3 linked regions of the Callithrix jacchus genome follow. The protein of the gene in region 2 purifies or fractionates together with the protein of the main gene of each other region. This does not show direct contact. Links are inferred from orthologs where the notes say so. Each region holds a gene or a part of one and is shown on either strand. Other genes may lie near its edges.

Region 1 (6,076 bases), on a different chromosome or scaffold from region 2:
CTTAGCATGTGTTTTTGAGGTTTATCCATGTTGTAACATGTATTAGTACTTTTATTTTTTATGGTTGAATAATATTTCATTGTGTGGAATTTTATTTGTACATTCATCAGTTGATGGACATTTGAGTTGTATCTATTATGAACAGTGTTGCAGTGAACATTCGTGTACAGGTTTGTGTGGACATAGGTTTTCATTTTTCTCAAGTAGAATTGTGAAGAGGGGAATTGCTGGGTCATATCGTAACTGTGTTTAACATTTTGTGTTAATACCAGCCTGTTTTCCAAAGTACCTGTGCCATTTGTAATACCAGCAGCAGTGAATGAGGGTCCAATTTCTCGCTTCTTCAATACTTATTATTGTCTCTTTGATTTACCCATCTCAGTAGGTATGAAGTGGTAGAGCTACTTGTGGTTTTGGTTTTCATTTTTATAATGACTAATGTTGAGCTTTCATGTGCTTATTGGCCATTATCTTTGGAGAAATGTCTTGTAGAATAAAAGAGATCCTTTTTTTATTGGTCTCTTTTAACAAAGGTCAGTGTTAACTGCTAGGTAGCATTTCATACCAGGCGATGGTAATTTTTCATAAATATTAGTAATAGACTTTTAGGTTTAGCTGATTGTTAATCAAGACTATTTTAAAGTGCTAATCCTCATAAGTAATCCTTTAAAAAAAGTCCTGGTAAGATTTCCCTTTAGGGTGACCAGTACAGTCAGCAAGACTCAATTGAGCGTCTCACTATTATAATGAGGAGACCTAATTTTAATATTTTTGGAATGTCAAAAACAGTGACATTTTGATTAATTTTATTTTTAAAAATTATTTTTGATGGTTAACATTTTATAAGAATTTTAAGTAATGTTCAACTCTGAGCATCAAATTTTAATTATGTGCGTTGAATCTCTGACTTAACCAGAACAATTTCATCTTTTTCCAAGTATATCTAAATCTACTTTGTGAAATATGTTCTGATGTGTGTCTTTTTTTTTCTTTTTTAGGTTATCTTGAATACATGTGCAACAGTTTTACTTGCAACGTTACCTGTTGTTTTATACTGCTTCCAAAAGATCAAAATTGTTCTGGAAATTGGAGACATTTGATTTAAAAGGAAAAACTTGAACAAATGGACAATATGTCTATTACGAATACACCAACTAGTAATGATGCCTGTCTGAGCATTGTGCATAGTTTGATGTGCCATAGACAAGGTGGAGAGAGTGAAACATTTGCAAAAAGAGCAATTGAAAGTTTGGTAAAGAAGCTGAAGGAAAAAAAAGATGAATTGGATTCTTTAATAACAGCCATAACTACAAATGGAGCTCATCCTAGTAAATGTGTTACCATACAGAGAACATTGGATGGGAGACTTCAGGTTAGTCTTATAAGAATTTTTCTATACCCTCTATGGTGGCAGGTTAAAAAACTTGCTAAATTTCCTTTCAAGCTTCTATAGGGTAATTTAATGCATGCTTCATCTCTTCAGATACTGTCATCCAGTACAAATATGCATTATGGGAATATGTGGAAGAATATGCAAAAGATAAAATTTTAAAGTTTTTTATGTTCTGACTCAGAAAAATGTTCAGTGGAGAAAATTTGGAAAATAAAAAGAAGAAAACCCACATTTTGCAGGAACTTCCGTTAGCCCTTTGGTATTCATTTTTGTAGTCTGTTGTTTTCTTTTTCTTTCTTTTTCCGAGGCAGAGTCTTACTCTGTCACCCAGGCTGGGATGCAGTGGTGCAGTCTTGGCTCACTGCAGCCTCCGCCTCCCAGGTTCAAGCAGTCCTTCTGCCTCAGCCTCCTAACTAGCTGGAACTACAGGTGAGTGCCACCATGCCCAGCTAATTTTTGTATTTTTAGTAGAGATGGGATTTCACTATGTTGGTCAGGCTGGTCTCAAACTCCTAACCTCAGGTGTTCCACCCACCTTGGCCTCCCAAAGTGCTGGGATTACAGGTGCAAGCCACTGTGCCCGGCCATGTTTTCTTTTTTGATATTGTATGTACATTTAAACAACTGGTGGATTATACTTAGTCCTTTTATAATTTAGAAATCTGGTATGTTTCACTGATATCAAATGTTTCATTGGTCACGTTTTTCATGTAGAACTTTGTAATACGTCTCCCTTGCTCAAGTAAATCTCATAGAAATTTTATGTCTTAGATTTTAAAGTTTTATTTCTAGACTTTAGTTTCTACAACACAGTCTTTTTGCATATTTATTTGTTTATTTTATTTTCTTTCTTTGAGACATGGTCTCAGTCTTGCCCATGCAGTGGTGCGAACATGGCTCACTACAGCCTTGACCTACTGGGCTTATTCAGTTCTCCTGCTTTAGCCTCCTGAGTAGCTACGACTACAGGCACACACCACCATGTCTGGTTGATTTTTTATTTTTTGTGGAAACAAGGTCTTGCCATGTTGTCCAGGTTGGTCTTGAATTCCTAGGTTCAAGAGATCCTCCCTTGGCCTCCCAAAGTACAGGTGTGAGCGACCAGGCCCACCCACTTTTTGCATTTTTAAAACCTGAGCACAGGCCTTGAAATTATACCAGCGTTTAAATTCTAGGTCTGAAGTATGACATGGCCAAGTTAGTTATTTTGAATTTTAGTGTTCTCGTTTATGAAATGGGGATTGTAATACTGACTTGGTAGGATTGTGAGGTTTAAATCAGAATATATGTAAAGTGTCTTGCATAATGTGACACACGAATAAATGGTTGTTTATTTTTCTAGGTGGCTGGCCGGAAAGGATTTCCTCATGTGATCTATGCCCGTCTCTGGAGGTGGCCTGATCTTCACAAAAATGAACTAAAACATGTTAAATATTGTCAGTATGCGTTTGACTTAAAATGTGATAGTGTCTGTGTGAATCCATATCACTATGAACGAGTTGTATCACCTGGAATTGGTAAGTAGACTTTTGCTTTTATCCTTAGAAACATAAAGGAAAAATGATGTCAGTAATGCTTTAATTTTTGTGAGTTAAATTATAAATTTCGAAGATAGCCCAGGATTTTAAATAAGGTTAAAGAATGAGATATTTTTAATATAAATATTTAAATTTGAACTCAGGAACAAACATTTTGACTACTAAAACCAAGTATTATCGTTGACATTTTGCCCATGTAAAACATTGTTTTTGAGAAATAAGATGGAAAGCATTATAAGTTTGAATACTTAGTGTATGTATTGTTAGTTAGCGTTTATGCTACTTCTGAATTGAAATGGTTCATGAACTTTTGTAATCTCTGGCTTAAATTTACATTCTCTGTTTTTAAATGGAAAATATTTTCATTGTAATGATTAATGTTTTATTTTTTTCCCCTCTTTAAACAATTAAGATCTCTCAGGATTAACACTGCAGAGTAATGGTAGGTAATCTGTTTCTTATCACATTCTCTTTCCTGTGTTTTATCCTCTCTGTTTTTTTGTTGACCTAGAATTAATTAGTTTGTGTGGGCGGCAGTAACCTTAACAAGAAAATAACTTACTGCTTTGGAAATTTAGATTGAGGGGGCGTGTCGGTGTTTAAAACTGGATTTAAATTGGCTATTTGCTCTTTGTATTTGAACTGCAATTTATGAGTTAAAGTACTGTAAAAAATATGATAAGGGAATGAACCAAAAACAAATACAAAGGCTGCTTTTCAAGTTAAGCACTGTTTTTGAAGAAAATCTCACAGAGTCAGTTTAAATGGATGTTAAGTTCCCAGAATGTTTGGTAATTTGGAATCACATATAACATATCCAGTAAAAATACCAGTATTCTAATGTTTCTTCATTTCAGTCTAATTTATTTTTATATAATGTTGAGAATGGTTTAAAATTGCACTCGTTTGTGTTTTTTCAGTCTTGTTACATTTTGAGTAAATAAATCAAGGCTACTTTAAAGCATATGCCCATCACAGCTTACCTTACTGAAAAAGTGTTTTAAGGTGAGAAAATGAAACACCAGTGGGGGTGTAGGTGTTTTTTAGTGTAATATTTGAGAATGGAGTTTTATTAAATCTTTAGGTCTGTTACTTAGAACTTACTAAAATTTCTGTCAGAACTAATTAATTTGCAGAGAAACTCTTATAAAGAACCACTGTGAGCCAGGTGCAGTGGTTCATGTCTGTAATCCCAGAACTTTGGGAGGCTGAGGCTGGTGGATCATGTGAGGTCAGGAGTTCAAAACCAGCGTGGCCAACATGGTGAAACGCTGTCTCTACTAAAAATATAAAAAATTAGTCAGGTGGGTGCCTGTAATCCCACCTACTCAGGAGACTGAGGCAAGTGAATCACTTGAACCCGGGAGTTGGAGGTTGCAGTGAGCTGAGATCATGCCATTGCCTGGGCAACAATAGCACAACTCCATCTCAAAAAAAAGGACCCAATGTCATATTAGAAAGGTGTGCTATTGTTCTGGAGGGAAATGAGTAGTAACTTGGGACCTTTTTTGTTTGCAGAATTTTAGAGATGGGTCAGAAATACTAGGTGACGTTAACCAAAATTTAGGAAGAGTTTGCAAGTCTTCTTGTTTTTATTTTCCATCTTTCTCCCATATCACTAATGGAGGAAGGAAGACTTAGTGCCTTGTGGTGCTTGTTAGTGATTAGTAGGTTTCTGAGAAGTGTGCATTTATTATTAGGAGCTGTTGTGGTGGTCTGGGAAGGGTTGCTTTAAGATTGGTTAAAGCTCTGCCTCTTTGCCATGCAGACATTGAAAATCATATAACTTCTTCTTCTTTTTTTTTTTTTTTTAAGTAAATACCCTTCATATCTTTTAAAGTGTTTTTTAAAGTAAACACACTTCATATCTTCATTTTCCATCCATGGTTTTGGAGAATTAAAACATTTGGCTCAGTAGGTATTAAAGATTGGGAGACTGCAATGATATGTCTATCTGAATCTCTCTATGGGGCTGTTTGTGAGGGGGTTCAAATTCTGAATGCTTATCACACACCTCCCCTATCCTGAAATTATTGATGCATTGTTATCAATGGGATTGCATGGGTCGATAGCCTTTCTTTAATGACTATAGAACTGTATTCAGCCTTGTAGAGCCCCCTAGTGGTGGTTTTGTAAAGGGTGTCTTCAGTGCCTTATTTCCTCAGAAAACAAGGGGTATTTCTCACAGCTCCTTCTAGATTTTAACAAAGGAATAATACAAGACCAGTTAACTAAAAAGTTAAGAAAATGGGACATTTCCTTCATTTTTGAGTTAAAGTCTTGTGGTAATCATTTACAGCCTGCCTTTTATCTTTCATGAAACTTTCTATGACCAAGTTGACCTGTGTATTCATTTTAACAAATATTTAATGAGCATGTATTGCTTGGTACTAGGTTCCAGGGATGCTAAGATAATAAGGTATGTCTTGTCTACTTAAGTGAGCTTATAGTCTAGTGGAGGAGAAAAAAAGTAAGTAAGAGGGTGATAATACCATCAGACAGGTGCTATATCCTGCCTGCTGGTGATGATAAAGAATACAGATGTAGAGTGGGCCCAGTGGTTTCAGCTTCTTTGTCACCTATAGAGAGTATATTATTTGACCTTCTTAGAACTTTTTTTTTTTTGAGACAGAGTTTCGCTCTTGTTGCCCAGGTTGGAATGCAGTGGCACAATCTTAGCTCTCTGCAACTTCCACCTCCTGGGTTCAAGCGATTCTCCTGCCTCAGCTTCCCGAGTAGCTGGGATTACAGGTGCTCACCACCACACCCAGCTAAAATTTTTTTTTGTAGTTTTAGTAGAGTTGGGGTTTCACCATGTTGTCCAGGCTGGTCTTGAACTATTGACCTCAGGAGATCCACCCGCCTTGGCCTCCCAAGCTGCTGGAATTACAGGCATGTGCCACCGTGCCCAGCCCTCTTAGAACAGTTTGTGATTACTATATATATGTATGATTACTCTAAGAATATGGTGAAATAACCATAACTAACATGTACTGAGTACTCATTTTGTGTCAGGTCAGATTGAGCTAAATGATTTCTGAGTATTGTGTTATCATTCTCATGATACTTCTACATGGGAGGTGGGATTATTCATACTTTAACAGATGAAGGGACTGCTATTTGGAGAGGTGAGGGAACTTGCCCA
Region 2 (6,800 bases):
TGTCACTTACATATTTGAATGTACTGCTTTAAACTTCAAAACAGCAGTCTCCTCAAGGTCTCCCATCACATTCTGAAATCCTAACTTCTATTACCTAATACAAAGCTACAAATTATGTTAGTTGGGTGGTTGGAACAAAGCGTGTGACATAAAAATAAGGTAAATGTGAATATGTACATCAGTTTGCTAATTTTTTTTGCCACTGTCTGGCCTCTTAAAATTGTGGTAGCAGCTATGTTCACACTGATTCATATATATTTGTAGTACAAGGAAGCATTTCTAAAGGACCTTGTTCATTGCTTTGGACAAAATAGCCCATTAATATTTGTTAAATGAATTGCTGGCACTATCTCTGGGATTTTTATTTTTTTAAATCTGTGTATTTATTTTTGACATGAAGCCTTGCTCTGTGGCCCAGGCTGAAGTGCAGTGGTGTGATCTCAGCTCACCGCAACCTCCCGGATTCAAGCAATTCTCGTGCCTCAGCTTCCCTAGTAGTTGGGACTACAGGCATCCACCATCATGCCTGGCTAATTTTTTTTTTTTTTTTTTTTTTGAGATGGAGTTTTGCTTTGTTGCCCAGGCTGGTGTACAGTGGTGCAATCTTGGCTCACTGTAACCTCTGCCTCCCAGGTTCAAGCGATTCTCCTGCCTTAGCCTCCTGAGTAGCTGGGATTACAGGCATGTGCGACCACACCCAGCTAATTTTGTATTTTTAATAGAGATGGGGTTTCTCCCTGTTGATCAGGTTGGTCTCACACTCCCGACCTCAGATGATGTGCCCACCTCTGCCTCCCAAAATGCTGGGATTACGGGTGTGAGCCACCATGCCCAGCCTTTTATTTTCCCATAGAGATGGCGGTTTCACTATTTTGGCCAGGCTGGTCTCAAACTCTTGATCTTAAATGATCTGCCTCCCTTAGCCTCCCAAAGTGCTGGGATTACAGGCATGAGCCACTGTGCCTGGCCTATCTCTGATATTTTTAGTGTGATGTCTAGAACTTCATATGCTTTTTTTGGATTACTTTAATTGTAGGGTTGTATCCAAACTGATGAAATGCTCTCAGAGGTAACTATCTGGAGAAGCAACTTCACTGATGCATTAAAAGCAGCGACTGGCATGGAATAAGGATTAATCCAAAACATTTAAAATTACATTAATGTTATAACAGCCTAAAGCAAAATAAATCACATTAAAAATCCCTCACACTGTTGTCCTTAGTAGTTTACATTGTGCTAGATACTTCTGCATGTATACACATACAACTTTTGTTCTATTTTTAAAGTTTGCGTTACATATAAATTCTTCCATATTGTGTGATCTTCATAAAAATTGTCAGTTCAATGGCTGCATAAAAACCATGCAGTTCATGGAGCATTATGCTGTTCCCTCATTCCACTTTTGTTATTAATGGAATTTAGCAAAGAACATCTTCCGTACTATTATTTGTCAAGAAAAGGTACGGGCACGGGGGTTCACGTCTGTAATCCTAGCACTCTGGGAGGCCGAGTCGGGCGAATTGCTTGAAATCAGGAGTTCGGGACCAGCGTGGCCAACATAGTGAAACCCCCTCCCAACTAAAAAATACAAAAAATTAGCAAGGCATGGTGGTGTGTGCCTGTGGTCCCAGCTACTTGGGAGGCAGAGGCAGGAGAATCTCTTGAACCCCGGAGGCTGAGGTTGCAGTGAGCCGAGATCGCGTCACTGCACTCCAGCTTCGGTGACAGAGACTTCAAGAAACAAAACAAAAAAATTAGTGGAGCGTCGTGGCGCACACTTGTGATCCCAGAGGCTCAGGTGGGAGGATCACTTGAGCCCGGGAAGCCGAGACTTCAGTGAGCCATAATCGCACCAAGGCACTCCAGTCTGGGCGACAGAGGGAGGCCCTGTCTGAAAAAAAAATCCTAGCAGTACAGTTACAAGGTCAAAGGATAAGGTACACATTTAAAAAAAACTTTTCCTCCTGAGATAACGACATAGAATAGTGTATGAACAACTCTTCATACATTACTCTCCAAGGTTTATCTTGTTTTTTTTTTTTTTTTTGAGACGGAGTTTCGCTCTGTTCACCCAGGCTGTAGTGCAATGGCGCGATCTCGGCTCACCGCAACCTCCGCCTCCTGGGTTCAGGCAATTCTCCTGCTTCAGCCTCCTGAGTAGCTGGGATTACAGGCACGCGCCACCGTGCCCAGCTAATTTTTTGTATTTTTAGTAGAGACGGGGTTTCACCATGTTGACCAGGATATGGTCTCGATCTCTTGACCTCGTGATCCACCCGCCTCGGCCTCCCAAAGTGCTGGGATTACAGGCTTGAGCGGTTTATCTTGTTAATCCTTTAAGACGTCAATATCATCTCCCTATCCTTGGCTGCACCTGAAAAGAGCCAGAGTCGGCAGGTAACCCGATCTCCTCCACCAGGTGAGTCCCGGATGGAGGCGTCAACTACAAGATCAGGAGCAGAGCACACCTGGGGCTTTGCTGGAACCCTTGGCGTGGGAATGCAGTCTCTTCCCTTGCCCGGAAGACTCCAAGTTCCCGGCGGGCAGCGGACTCGGTTCTAAATTTGCTCGCCCCAGCCTCTCCGAGCGCCCCGCGCACAGTCGGCCGTGCTTGGACAAAAGCTCTCCCGAAAAGGACCGGACACCAAGTCCCTCCAGGTGCCACAGACCTGCCGCCCCCGCGTCACTTTGCTCCCTGCCCGCTCCCTCCCCGCGTTCCGCGTGGGACCCTCGGCAGCAGCACACGACCTCCCAGACGGCTGGGGTCTGAGCCGAGCTCGCCCCGCCCTCCCCGCGCCCCGGGCACCCTGCGCGCGCCCGCCGGTCCCGCCCCGGCCCTGCTCCGCCCCGCCAGCCCCGCCTCTCGTCTCCTCCCCGCCCCCCGGAGCCGACGAGTGGCGGCGGCGGCCTCAGGTCCCGGGTCCCTCAGACAAGAGGGCGGGTGGAGGAGGAAGCGGCCGAGCCCAAAGTCCTGCTCCGGCGCCGCGGAGCACCGCCCGCCTTAGCCGACCAGCCCCGTCGTCTACTGGGCCTCGCCTAGACAAGAGGAGTGAAAGGCCGCGGCGGCCGTGCGGAGGCGGCGGGGGTGCAGGCAGAGGCGGCGCGGGCTGCCGCGGCTGCCGCTTTGTTGTGCGGCCCGGGCCGAGGAAGAAGTGGGAGGAGGGGGGAGCTCGGCGTCCCGCTCCCTCCGCGGCTCATGGCGACGACGCTCGGCACATCCGGGACCCTCCGGCCGCGGCGGCCGCGGCGCCGGCTGCTCGGGCCCCAGCCCCGGCCGCTGTTGTGACTCCGCCGCGTCTCGCCGTCGCCCCGTCCCTGGTCCCTGTCCCGCCCGCCGCCCCTTCGCCCCCGCCGCCGGGGACATGTCTAACCCCGGAGGCCGGAGGAACGGGCCCGTCAAGCTGCGCCTGACAGGTGAGGGGGGGGCGGCGGGCCGGGTCGGGCAGCGGCGGGGTGGGCGAGCTGGCGGGGGGTGCCTGTGGCCTTGGGAAGGGCCAGGGTCGCGATCAATGGTGAGTTGGGGGTCGGAGGAGTGGGAAGGCCTAGTTCAGGGAGAGTAATAGGAAAACCACTTGCTCCGGTTTGGACATTCTGTAAAAAGCCGAGGATGACTCGGGGTGGCGGGGGGGTGGTCTTTTGTGGAAGGGGGATACACCGGTTCGCGTCGCAGGAGGATTTTAGGTCGAAAGGTCTTGGTCGAGGAGCGGGACGCTGCTTCCCGGGGCTCGTGGGCTGCCGCCCAGGTGGGCTCTTGAAGGGGATGAAGAGCTCCGGTGGCGAGGATTATTGAATCCGGTTGCTGACTGCGCGTAGTAAACACTCCGTAAAGACGGAACGCTTAACGGGAGGGTGTGCGTGTGTGTTCCCGGGTTAACTTGCACACCCACTTATGCCCGCGTGCAAAACCTTTACTCCCCGCCGCCGGCCACCGCTGCTGGGGCCACACACCTTCAACTCACTTCTCTCTGAGGAGAGGAGACTGAGGTTGACTTTTCCGGTGTGCCAGTCTGATCCGATGGCTCGGGCTCATTGTACATTGTGTTTTGGAAGTGTCTGGATTGTAGGTGGCATGTTTGGGGTTGTTCCTTGTAGGCCGCAGAACTTGTGTCCCACTTTTAACTCCAGACCTGCTTTAAAAACACGGTTTTTTGGGGGGCGGGGGAGAGGATACATTTCTAAGTGTGTGCTCATACAAACTTTAGAGCGAACTTGTTCTTACTCTCCACACCCTCCCCCTTTTTTTCTAAATGGAAAGGAATGTCCGGAGGGGTACTACACTTACAAAGTGTTTATAATTTCAGGTGCATGAAATCTTTAACATTACAGGTACGTTTTGCTTACAGTACCATTTTTGGTATTCTTACATGGACATGCCACCCCCATTTTAGGAAAACTTGTATTTGGTTTGAAAAGTAATTGAGATCATGGCGTTATCCTTCCTTCACCATTTACTCCTGATAAATTGTTTACGTTTATATTCAGATGAGTGGCGAGAAAGATAATTTTCCGTAGAGGATTTGTGTGTGCGTGCACGTGTACGAATAAACTGTAATTATGTTTGCCCACACTAGACTTTGAGATTTATTTGAACTAATTTTGTAGTTGAATGCTTCTATGTGTCATCCCAGTCCGCAGGCTGGACTTGCTAGATGAAAACTTGCAGTGAATTTGGTATTTGAGAATTTAGCTTGAATGTATGTTGGCTGTAATTTAAATAATATTTTACCTTCAAGACAGTTTTGCTTTCCCTGGAGAAAATTGGCAGGGAATCATTAACCAAGTGGTTCTTAATGGAAAACCTGGATTGGAAGATACTTGGATTCCCCCTACCCGCCCGCATTCAATGTCCTTATATTGGTAGGAGTCAGTGGAAACCTTTAGGGGGATCTTTGTTGCTTTAGAGTTTTATCTCTTGCTGTTGCTATCTGGCGTCAATGATCGTGGAAAGAACATGTGATCCCAGGTATGCAGAAAACGTCAGAAATAGGCTGTTGCCATTTACTTCTCTCTAGGCTATGTAGAGAAAACTAGGGGAAAAAAATAGGGATTTTGATTTTCTGCAGATAGATGAGTTGAGGTTTTTAATATGACTCAATAGATCTTAAAGTGTTTATCTGTGGTTTCCCCACTGCCTAAGATACATTATAAAAATTTATAAGTGAAGTTTGCTAAGAGGAAAGATTATGCTTATATTTCAGGGGAAGAAGGAATAAATAGTGAAGTACATTTAGAGAGTGATTTTGTTTCAGGTTTTTCTGAGGAATTTTAAATTCGCTGTGTCCTCTTAATAGTAAAAGCAGTTTGAGGTGCTCTGAGTTTCTTACAACTATTTGTCTCTGAATAGTTTTCTCTTAAAATTTGACAAATATTAAAAACATTGTCCTTCCTTCTTTGGTTACAGTGGAGTCTCTTCTGTTTTGCTAGGAAAGTTAACTTTTTTTTTCATTTTTGTTCAGCATTTACAAATTAGATGGTATAGATTTTAGCAAATAGATCTCAAGAGCTGGATTCAATTAGCAGCTTTTTAGGACATAAACATTAAAGGGTTAGATGGAAAAGATTGTTTTGACTGACTGGATAAATGACAGGACTGTGTTTGATGTGCGTCCAGGAATTGGTCTGGAGCTGGTGCCCAACTTCTCAATCCATCTTGAGAAGCCAAATAAAATATTTAACCTAGGCCTCATTTTGTTTAAAAAAAAAAAAGAAGGTTGATTCTTTGTTAAGACCTTAAGAAATGTTTGGCATACCTTTAGCCTAAGTGTTTAGCAGTTCATTTAGATCTGGGTTCCCTAATAGAGGAAAAAAAAATCACTTAAAAGACAGCTCCCTCAGTGAATTTTTATTTGGTTTATAATATGCTTGAGCTATAAGATGTTTTAAAATTATTATTCTTTGCTTTAATATTAGTATTTTAAATTTATAGAGTAACTTTGATTTCAAGATGCTGTATAAACTTTAGTTACTTGGTAATAACCTTATTGTGGAATTGCCCCTTTACTGAAAGGTATAAAACATTTCTTACATGGTGACACACACCCACCCACACTCATGCACGCGTGCACACACAGAGACACACACACACACCCGTACACACACTCTTTTTCTAAAGAAGAGGAAATATTTGAACTATGAGATCTCTGCCCACAATTGGTATTAGACCTTTCCACGTTATTCTTAAAACCACAATCAGTGAACAGTTTGGTATTTGTCAATGCTAAGAAGGTGGGGCTAATTTAATAATTAAATCCCAAATTTTAGATTCCTCAGGGAATTGGGAGTTAGAATCTGATTTCATCCATCAAGTATAATGTGTTCTTTATGACACATTAACATATGATCATTAAAATGGGCTGTATGATAACACTATCTACTTCAACTAATATTTCTAGAACAAATTGATTACAAAATGTATAATTTCTGTATCATTATATGATTATCTGATACAGGCTTTTACAATGGATTGTATAGAAAAATATTCTTTACAGTAAAAACTTTGGGGTAATTTTTTATACTTTTTTTTTTTTTGAGACAGTCTCTCTCCATTGCAGTGGTGCAATCTCAGCTCACTGCAACCTCTGCCTCCTGGGTTCAAGCAATTCTCCTGCCTCAGCCTCTCGAGTAGTTGGGAGAACAGGCTCGCACCACCACACCCAGCTAATTTTTGTATTTTTAGTAGAGACAGGGTTTCACCATGTTGGCCAGGATAGTCTCGATCTCTTGACCTTGTGATCCACCCGCCATGGCCTCCCAAAGTGCTGGGATTACAGGTATGAGCCACTGTGCCTGGCCCATTTTTT
Region 3 (6,536 bases), on a different chromosome or scaffold from region 2:
TGTCTCTGTTCTGCCCTTTGTCACCCTAAGAAATTCACCTAATCTGAGTTTTTTCATCTGTAAATTGAAGTGACAATATACTTAGGACTTTCACCAGCTGAATGCCTAGCCCTAGTGGGCATCCTATAATGTTATTCTCTCTCATTTACTCCACTTTGATTACTTTTATGCTTTGTTTCCAGCCATGTACTATAGCCTTTAGGATTGGGGGGAAAAATGATAGAGGTTAATACATCCAAATCCCACAGTAAAGAATAAGGAACCTAACTTTGAAGAGTAACTTGCCAGTCAGTAAAAGCTTTGTTTCCTCCCTTGGAGTGGGGGCCCCAGTACAGTTGGAGACACACTTTTAGAGAACTTTCATACTCATCAAATCCCCCTCTGAATTGTACCCACCCTTCAAAGTCAGCTTAAGTCCTAAACTGTCCAGAAAGCCTCCCCCAATCACTCCAGCCTACACTAATCATCTCCCTTTTTGAATACTAATGCCTCCCTACAGGGATGACATTAAAAATATTTAACAACTGGCACTACAAGGGTACCAACCAACCAGAAAGGATGTTTAACCAAAAAACACATGGCCCAGTGGGAACTGCTTGTTGAATATCAGTCCTGATCATTAGTAACAATACAGAATAGCAACCTCAAACTCAAATACCACTTTCTCATGTGATCTTCACAATCTCATGAATTAGGCAAAAGCAGGTATTGCCCCTATTTTCTGCATAACTGGTGGTGAAGGTGGGACTAATAACCACTTGCCTTCACCACACCACACAATATTTCCTGATTATTTATACAGAATTATAAGTTAATATTGCATAAACTGGACTTAGATAAAACAGTATAAATACTAAAGGAATGCTCAAATAGAAATCAACAAGCATCTATGTGGAATAGAATATAAAACACAGTGCTAAGTTCTGAGGCCATAAAGCAAAGAAATGGCATGAATCTCGTCCTCTAGGTATCTACAACATATTCAAGTGTAGTTAAATTGCAGTGCAGACAGTAGAAATGGACAACACAAACTGTAAGTGTTGCAGAGTTCTGGAAGACAAAGAATTCAAGAACTAAACCAGTACAGGAAGTCAGGACTGAGAACTTCTTACACTCCCAAAAAAGGGGCAAAATTAAATGTGTAGTGAAAAGCTGAACAGTCAGGAGTCAGTGAGAAATAGAAATTGCTTGAAGGTCTGCAGTAATGAGAAGTGAGATTCCTGGTAGGATACTCAGAGATGGCCCCAATCATAAGCTGCTGAAGTGTTTCTCTAAGTGCTGAATACAAATGGGAAATCATATAAACCTTTATGGGGATGGCTGAGGAAGATTAGTTTGGCAGTAGCCCATAGAAAAGCTTAGAAGAGAGAAACATGGGAAAGCAACTAGATTTGGAGGATAACAGGCAGGATTAAGCTGAAGGCTGCATACCAAGAAAGGAGGAGACATTCAAGAGGCATTAATAGAAACAAGAGTTGGATTTAGAGCATGTTTCCAAAGAAAAAATGTTATGAAATGGCAGAAAGGAAGCAAACAGCATTCTCACAAGGGATATTCATATAGACACAGTGGTACTAAACCGTGTACTAGCGACAAGGAATCAATTTTCCTAGAGAAATCTATGTTGGGGAGAGAAGTTGGGCAGAGAACAATAAAACATACTCAGAAAATAAGAAACTGCACTCTTTTTAAAAGGGAAGTAAAATTACAGAGAGAAAAAAAAGCATTTGACCTTTTTCAGAATGTTATTTTAAGGGTGGACTGAGACATCATCATAACCAATAAGAAAGGCAGAGAAGCTGAGGCAGTCTGGGCTTAGAGTAATATGCACCTGGACAGCTTTGTACTGTGTACATGCCACAGAGACTGTAAACTCCCCCAGGACATGGACTGAGCAATGTTCTGTGTATCCAACTAAGTCCACCTACTGTTACTTGAATACATGAACACTTCCTGTGCTACTTCTGGTGGAAAAGAGGGCACTATGTTATTCAAGTTAATAGTGGTGTGGAAATGTTACCTATGTTTCCCCCTAACTATATTGATTCTCCCAATCTGTCCACACAGTTATCTTGCCTTCCTCCCTAGGCCAATGTCAAAAATCCATTGTTTCCTCTAATGCAGGCCCACGTGAAGGGACTCAGGAATGTGCTAAGAGTCAGAATGAAGCCTATCTGACATTCATATCATGAGGACAGAATCTAAAAGTGAATAATAAAGACCAGTTGCTCATCAGATGAAGAAAAATGGGCTATGCCAGGTAGTATGATGTATACATGTTTGCGTGTGTATATACATATTTATATATATATGTGTGTACAGGTTTTGGAAACTGAGATCTGAGTGAAAATTCTAGCTTTAGCACTTAGTGACTGCATACTTAAGCAGACCCAGGGGTCTGCACCCCACTTTTCAAATCTTTAAAGTGGGGCAAATGCCACAAGTCCTGAGAGTTTGGTTGTGGTGATTAAATAATGTACGTATCCAATAGTGTACTTTATGCATTTACATCATAGTAATGCATAATACATAGACGGAGGCTATTAGGACTAATTATAATCATCATCTTCAGTCTTGATTTTTAAAAGAATTTTCAACATTTTTGTACAGTTTCAGAAACAGAAATGTAATTTCACTGCATTTTAGTTGCTAAGACTGAGGCTCTGATTTTAGTTTCTACTGTCTTAATTCAGCTGCTAACAAAGTTTTCCACTCATCACTTTGTGGATGCCAACCACCTACCCCGACCTGATTTAATACTTGGAAAAACTCAGCGAACATTCTTCCTTGAAAACCAGCTACCAGATGTATCATTCAAACTATTAACTGTCACTCAAGAAAAGGAACATCGCAAGTGATGTTCCTTCTAGGAAATAAAAGCGTTGAATCAATTCACAGTCATTCCCCAAATTTCCAAACCCTGTAGAGTGAGCAAACGTTCAAGTTTCCACTACGAAAACAATCCGTAGCCTTCTGGTTACTGGACTCACTTCAACACTCCTCAGGCGCACGAAAGAAGGAATACTCCGCGCATCTCCACGCTTCCTTCTTCTCACACAAAGCCCCCTTGGCTGAAGGAGCAGACCCTTCCAGCAGGGTCGGGCCGGGCGGGAGTCAGGGCAGCTTGCAGACCCGGGGGTCTCACCACATGTCGACCCCCGACTCCCACCCCGGGAAGCCCTCGCGGCTCGGAGCTCACACCCCGCCCGGGAGCCGCCTTCCCCCCAACCCCAAAACCCGCCCGGGACCCCAAGACCACGCCGTTCCCTGGGGGGCGGCGGCGGTCGGCAGCCACCGCTCTGCCAGTCCCCGCCCGTCTCGCATCCTCCGCCCCTGGCCCTAACCCACGCACACCCCACAGGGCAGCCCCGGCCCTCGGACGACTCCGTCCGACTCCACCTCCCCGGGGGAGTCCCGAGCCGGACGGCCTCAGGCTGCCCGGCACGTTCACCCGTGCCCGGACACACGCCCCTGCCCCGCCTCCGCTCCCCGCTTGCGGTTCGCCCGGCTGCCACCGAGCCGCTCGGGGCCACGAGAGCCCGGTTGGGGCCACGAGAGCCCGGTCCGGGCCCCGGCGCTGCCACCTGCGCCCCCGGCCCCGCGCCATGTTTGAGAAAGAGCAGTAGCGAGCCGGAGGCCGGGCCCGGCCCGCGCGCCCCGCAGTCGCCCGCCCGCCCGCCGCGCCGCGCTGCCGCTCACCCGTCGCCCCCGGGAGCAGCAGCGCCGCCGCCGCCGCTGCCGCCGCCAGCACAAGGAGGAGCAGTCGGGGACGCGGAGCAGCGGCCGCCGCCTCCATGGTCCCGCCGCCACCGCCTGTGGCCCGGCCCGGCCCGGCCGCCGCCTCACCCCAGCAAACCTCGCCTCGCCCCACCTCCCCCGCCGCCGCGGCGGCCCCGCTTCGGCCCTTTGTAACTGCTCGGGGGACGTGCGTCCATTGGCTGCCGGGCTCCCGCCGGCCCCGCCTCCCCGCCGCCGCGAGCGGCCGAGCGGGACCCAGCCACGAGCCCCGCCCGCGGGCCCACCGGGCAGCCAATCCGGAGCCGCGCGCCCCGGCCTCTGGCCACGCCCCACGCTCCCCGGGGGACGGGCCGCCAGACCCCTGCCCCGGCCAGAGCTGCTCCCGGCTCCGCGAGGCGGTGTGGGGGCGGGATCGGCCAGACCCAGCGCCGCCGAGCCGCTAGCCCCGGAGGGCCGGGTAGAGCGAAGGGTGTGTCTGTGTGAGTCGCTTTCGGGAAAAGGCTGTGGCCGCTCGACTCTCTTTTCTTCTAACCTCCTCTAGGCGCGGAAGATCTCGTACTGCTTCAGCCCCACGCTGACCCCATTCACTGCTCCGCACCGGCAATCCCTGCATAGGCCACTCAGATCCGCTGCAGCGCCAGGCCCTGCATGCACTTCAACTTCCCCTCTCCAAGTCCACGCATCAACTTCAGCATTCCCCCGAAGATCTTTCCTCCGCGCCCTTCACATGCGACTCAGTCTCCTGTTTCCTCATGCTTGGAGCGGTCATCCCGAACCTAGCTCCCCCACCCAATTCCAAACCTAGGAAGTCCTCAGATCCCAGCCTCAGACCCAGATCCTGACCCCAAACACACCCCCAAATAGCCTCCCGCCTCACTCCGGAACAGGCACAGGATGGGGATCCAAGCCGCTCTCGCCTCATCCCCCTTCCTGATCCAGGTTGGAAAGGGAGGGTCCCCACCCCAACCCCTCAAAGGAGGGGTTCCCCCTTCTTAGAACCCAGCTCCCGCGGGGTGGAGGGGGAGCAGTCATTACTTTGAGCTGTGTCTGACACTCCTGTATAATAATCCTGAGGTGTCACTAAAAACCCAAATAAACTACGTTTTCATTCCGAATTCCTAATTTACTGCGAGACGCTCCACCCACCTTTCCTCCGCGACGCCAAAATGAGCTCCAGATTTGTAATTCTTCCTGTCAGACTAGTCCTTTCTTCAGACACAAACACAGCCAAGGAGGCTGTTACGTAGAACAGAGAATATTTTCCCTCAGAACCTTTTAAGGAGAAAGTTTTATTTCCTGTGTCATTTGAGCTTGGAATTAAATAAACCTTGATAGCAGGAATCAGAACCAGCCTCTAATGTCAACTTGTGCACTACTTCAGAGTCACTGGGTGAGCATTTTCCCCACCTGTGAAGGTTTCCTTCCTGGAGATGAAAAGGGAAAGGACGTGGATATTGGAGCTGGGATCTGAGACCTGCGTGCTTTCTCCCTCCTGGCTGGGACACTACTTCGGCAAAGTCAGCTAACCTTTCAGAGTCTCCAGCAGGCTCAGAGGCCTGCAACTTGCTCTAGACTGCAGCGCCAGCAGCCTCAGCAGCGAACTCCCCTCTTGTTCAGACTGAAGGATTCCAGAAAGACGGTTTCTGGCAGGCTCCAGTCCCAATTTGCCCTCTCGGTTCCAGTTTCTTCAATGGAGACTTGGTGGGCTTTGTGCCAAGAGGTCTCTAGATTGCCTTTTTGCTGCTCTATTTGCAATGTCTTGCATAAGATAAGAGCTAATGAGATTTTGATTGTGTGAATGAATGAATGATCTCAAAGTGACTGTTTTTCTTTGGCCTTTAGCTTCCTCATCTCTAAAATGTAAATAATAATAGTACCTACCCCGTTTATAAATGAAAGGGATTGAATCACTTGTCTTGGGCTCCTTAGATGATGTAATGTGTCTGGTACAGTGTCTGGAACATAGTAAATATTTAGTTAATGCCATTTCTTTGCCCATCCCCTTCCAGCTCCGTATGATTCTAATCAGCATGTGTGTTCATGTTAGTCTGTGCCCTTGACGTACAGAGCCTAGATTAATCAGTGTTAATCACACCTCCAGTTCCTTAACATTTTCCATGGAATTGAGTAGATTCAACAGAAAGGAAAAACAGACCGGTTTTTAAATTTTAACATCCTGATACTAGGAGGAAATTTCCATGAACAACAGATCCATAAATAAACTACACTAGAATGGAACACTAAATTAATAGTTTAAAATCATGGTTCCCAAATTGTAAAGTGTCTCCAAATTACCTGGAGAGCTTTTAATAATGCAGATTCTTGGGTCTCACTGGGTCTTAGCAATTCTGCTTCAGTTCTTCTGGAGAAGGTTCAGGAATCTGCATTTGTAATAGACATCATAGTTAATTCTGTTGCAGGTGGCACTAGGCCAGCTTCAAAAGACTGGTATACTTAAAATTCAGTAAATAAAAATGCATGACCTTATTTGCCTTTTGAGAAAGGTTGGATGGGCAGTGGAAAGAAGCCGCTGGCTTTGGAGGCCTGCAGACCCTACTTGAAATTCTGGCTCTGCCACTCAGTAGCTGTGGGTCTGTGAACACTATTTGATCACTCTTGAGATTTAGCATCTCCAGGGTAAAGGGAGATATTGTTGTGAGGTCTAAATGAGCTATTGCACATAAGGAATCTATCATAAGTGTTAATTCCTTTCAGTCTTTACAGACTTACTTGTTGTTTAAAAGGCTTCCCTGTTATCTACTACAATGTCTTGATTATCTTGATTTAAAGATGGAGAA

The links.
Region 1: the proteins of SMURF2 (region 2) and SMAD4 purify together in Homo sapiens (affinity purification with western blotting; 3 studies listed by BioGRID). This does not show direct contact. The link is inferred for Callithrix jacchus from reciprocal best matches to the Homo sapiens genes SMURF2 and SMAD4.
Region 3: the proteins of SMURF2 (region 2) and TGFBR1 purify together in Homo sapiens (affinity purification with western blotting; 8 studies listed by BioGRID). This does not show direct contact. The link is inferred for Callithrix jacchus from reciprocal best matches to the Homo sapiens genes SMURF2 and TGFBR1.

Annotation. Positions count from the first base shown.
Region 1 is NC_133514.1:94,274,642-94,280,717, forward strand, and holds part of SMAD4 (mothers against decapentaplegic homolog 4), read left to right. Parts: intron 1-998; 5' UTR 999-1,123; coding exon 1,124-1,372; intron 1,373-2,735; coding exon 2,736-2,910; intron 2,911-3,343; coding exon 3,344-3,373; intron 3,374-6,076. UniProt on the Homo sapiens protein: In muscle physiology, plays a central role in the balance between atrophy and hypertrophy. When recruited by MSTN, promotes atrophy response via phosphorylated SMAD2/4.
Region 2 is NC_133506.1:89,930,586-89,937,385, reverse strand, and holds the start of SMURF2 (E3 ubiquitin-protein ligase SMURF2), read left to right. Parts: upstream 1-2,927; 5' UTR 2,928-3,362; coding exon 3,363-3,414; intron 3,415-6,800. UniProt on the Homo sapiens protein: E3 ubiquitin-protein ligase which accepts ubiquitin from an E2 ubiquitin-conjugating enzyme in the form of a thioester and then directly transfers the ubiquitin to targeted substrates.
Region 3 is NC_133502.1:147,221,196-147,227,731, reverse strand, and holds the start of TGFBR1 (TGF-beta receptor type-1), read right to left. Parts: upstream 3,885-6,536; 5' UTR 3,797-3,884; coding exon 3,700-3,796; intron 1-3,699. UniProt on the Homo sapiens protein: Transmembrane serine/threonine kinase forming with the TGF-beta type II serine/threonine kinase receptor, TGFBR2, the non-promiscuous receptor for the TGF-beta cytokines TGFB1, TGFB2 and TGFB3.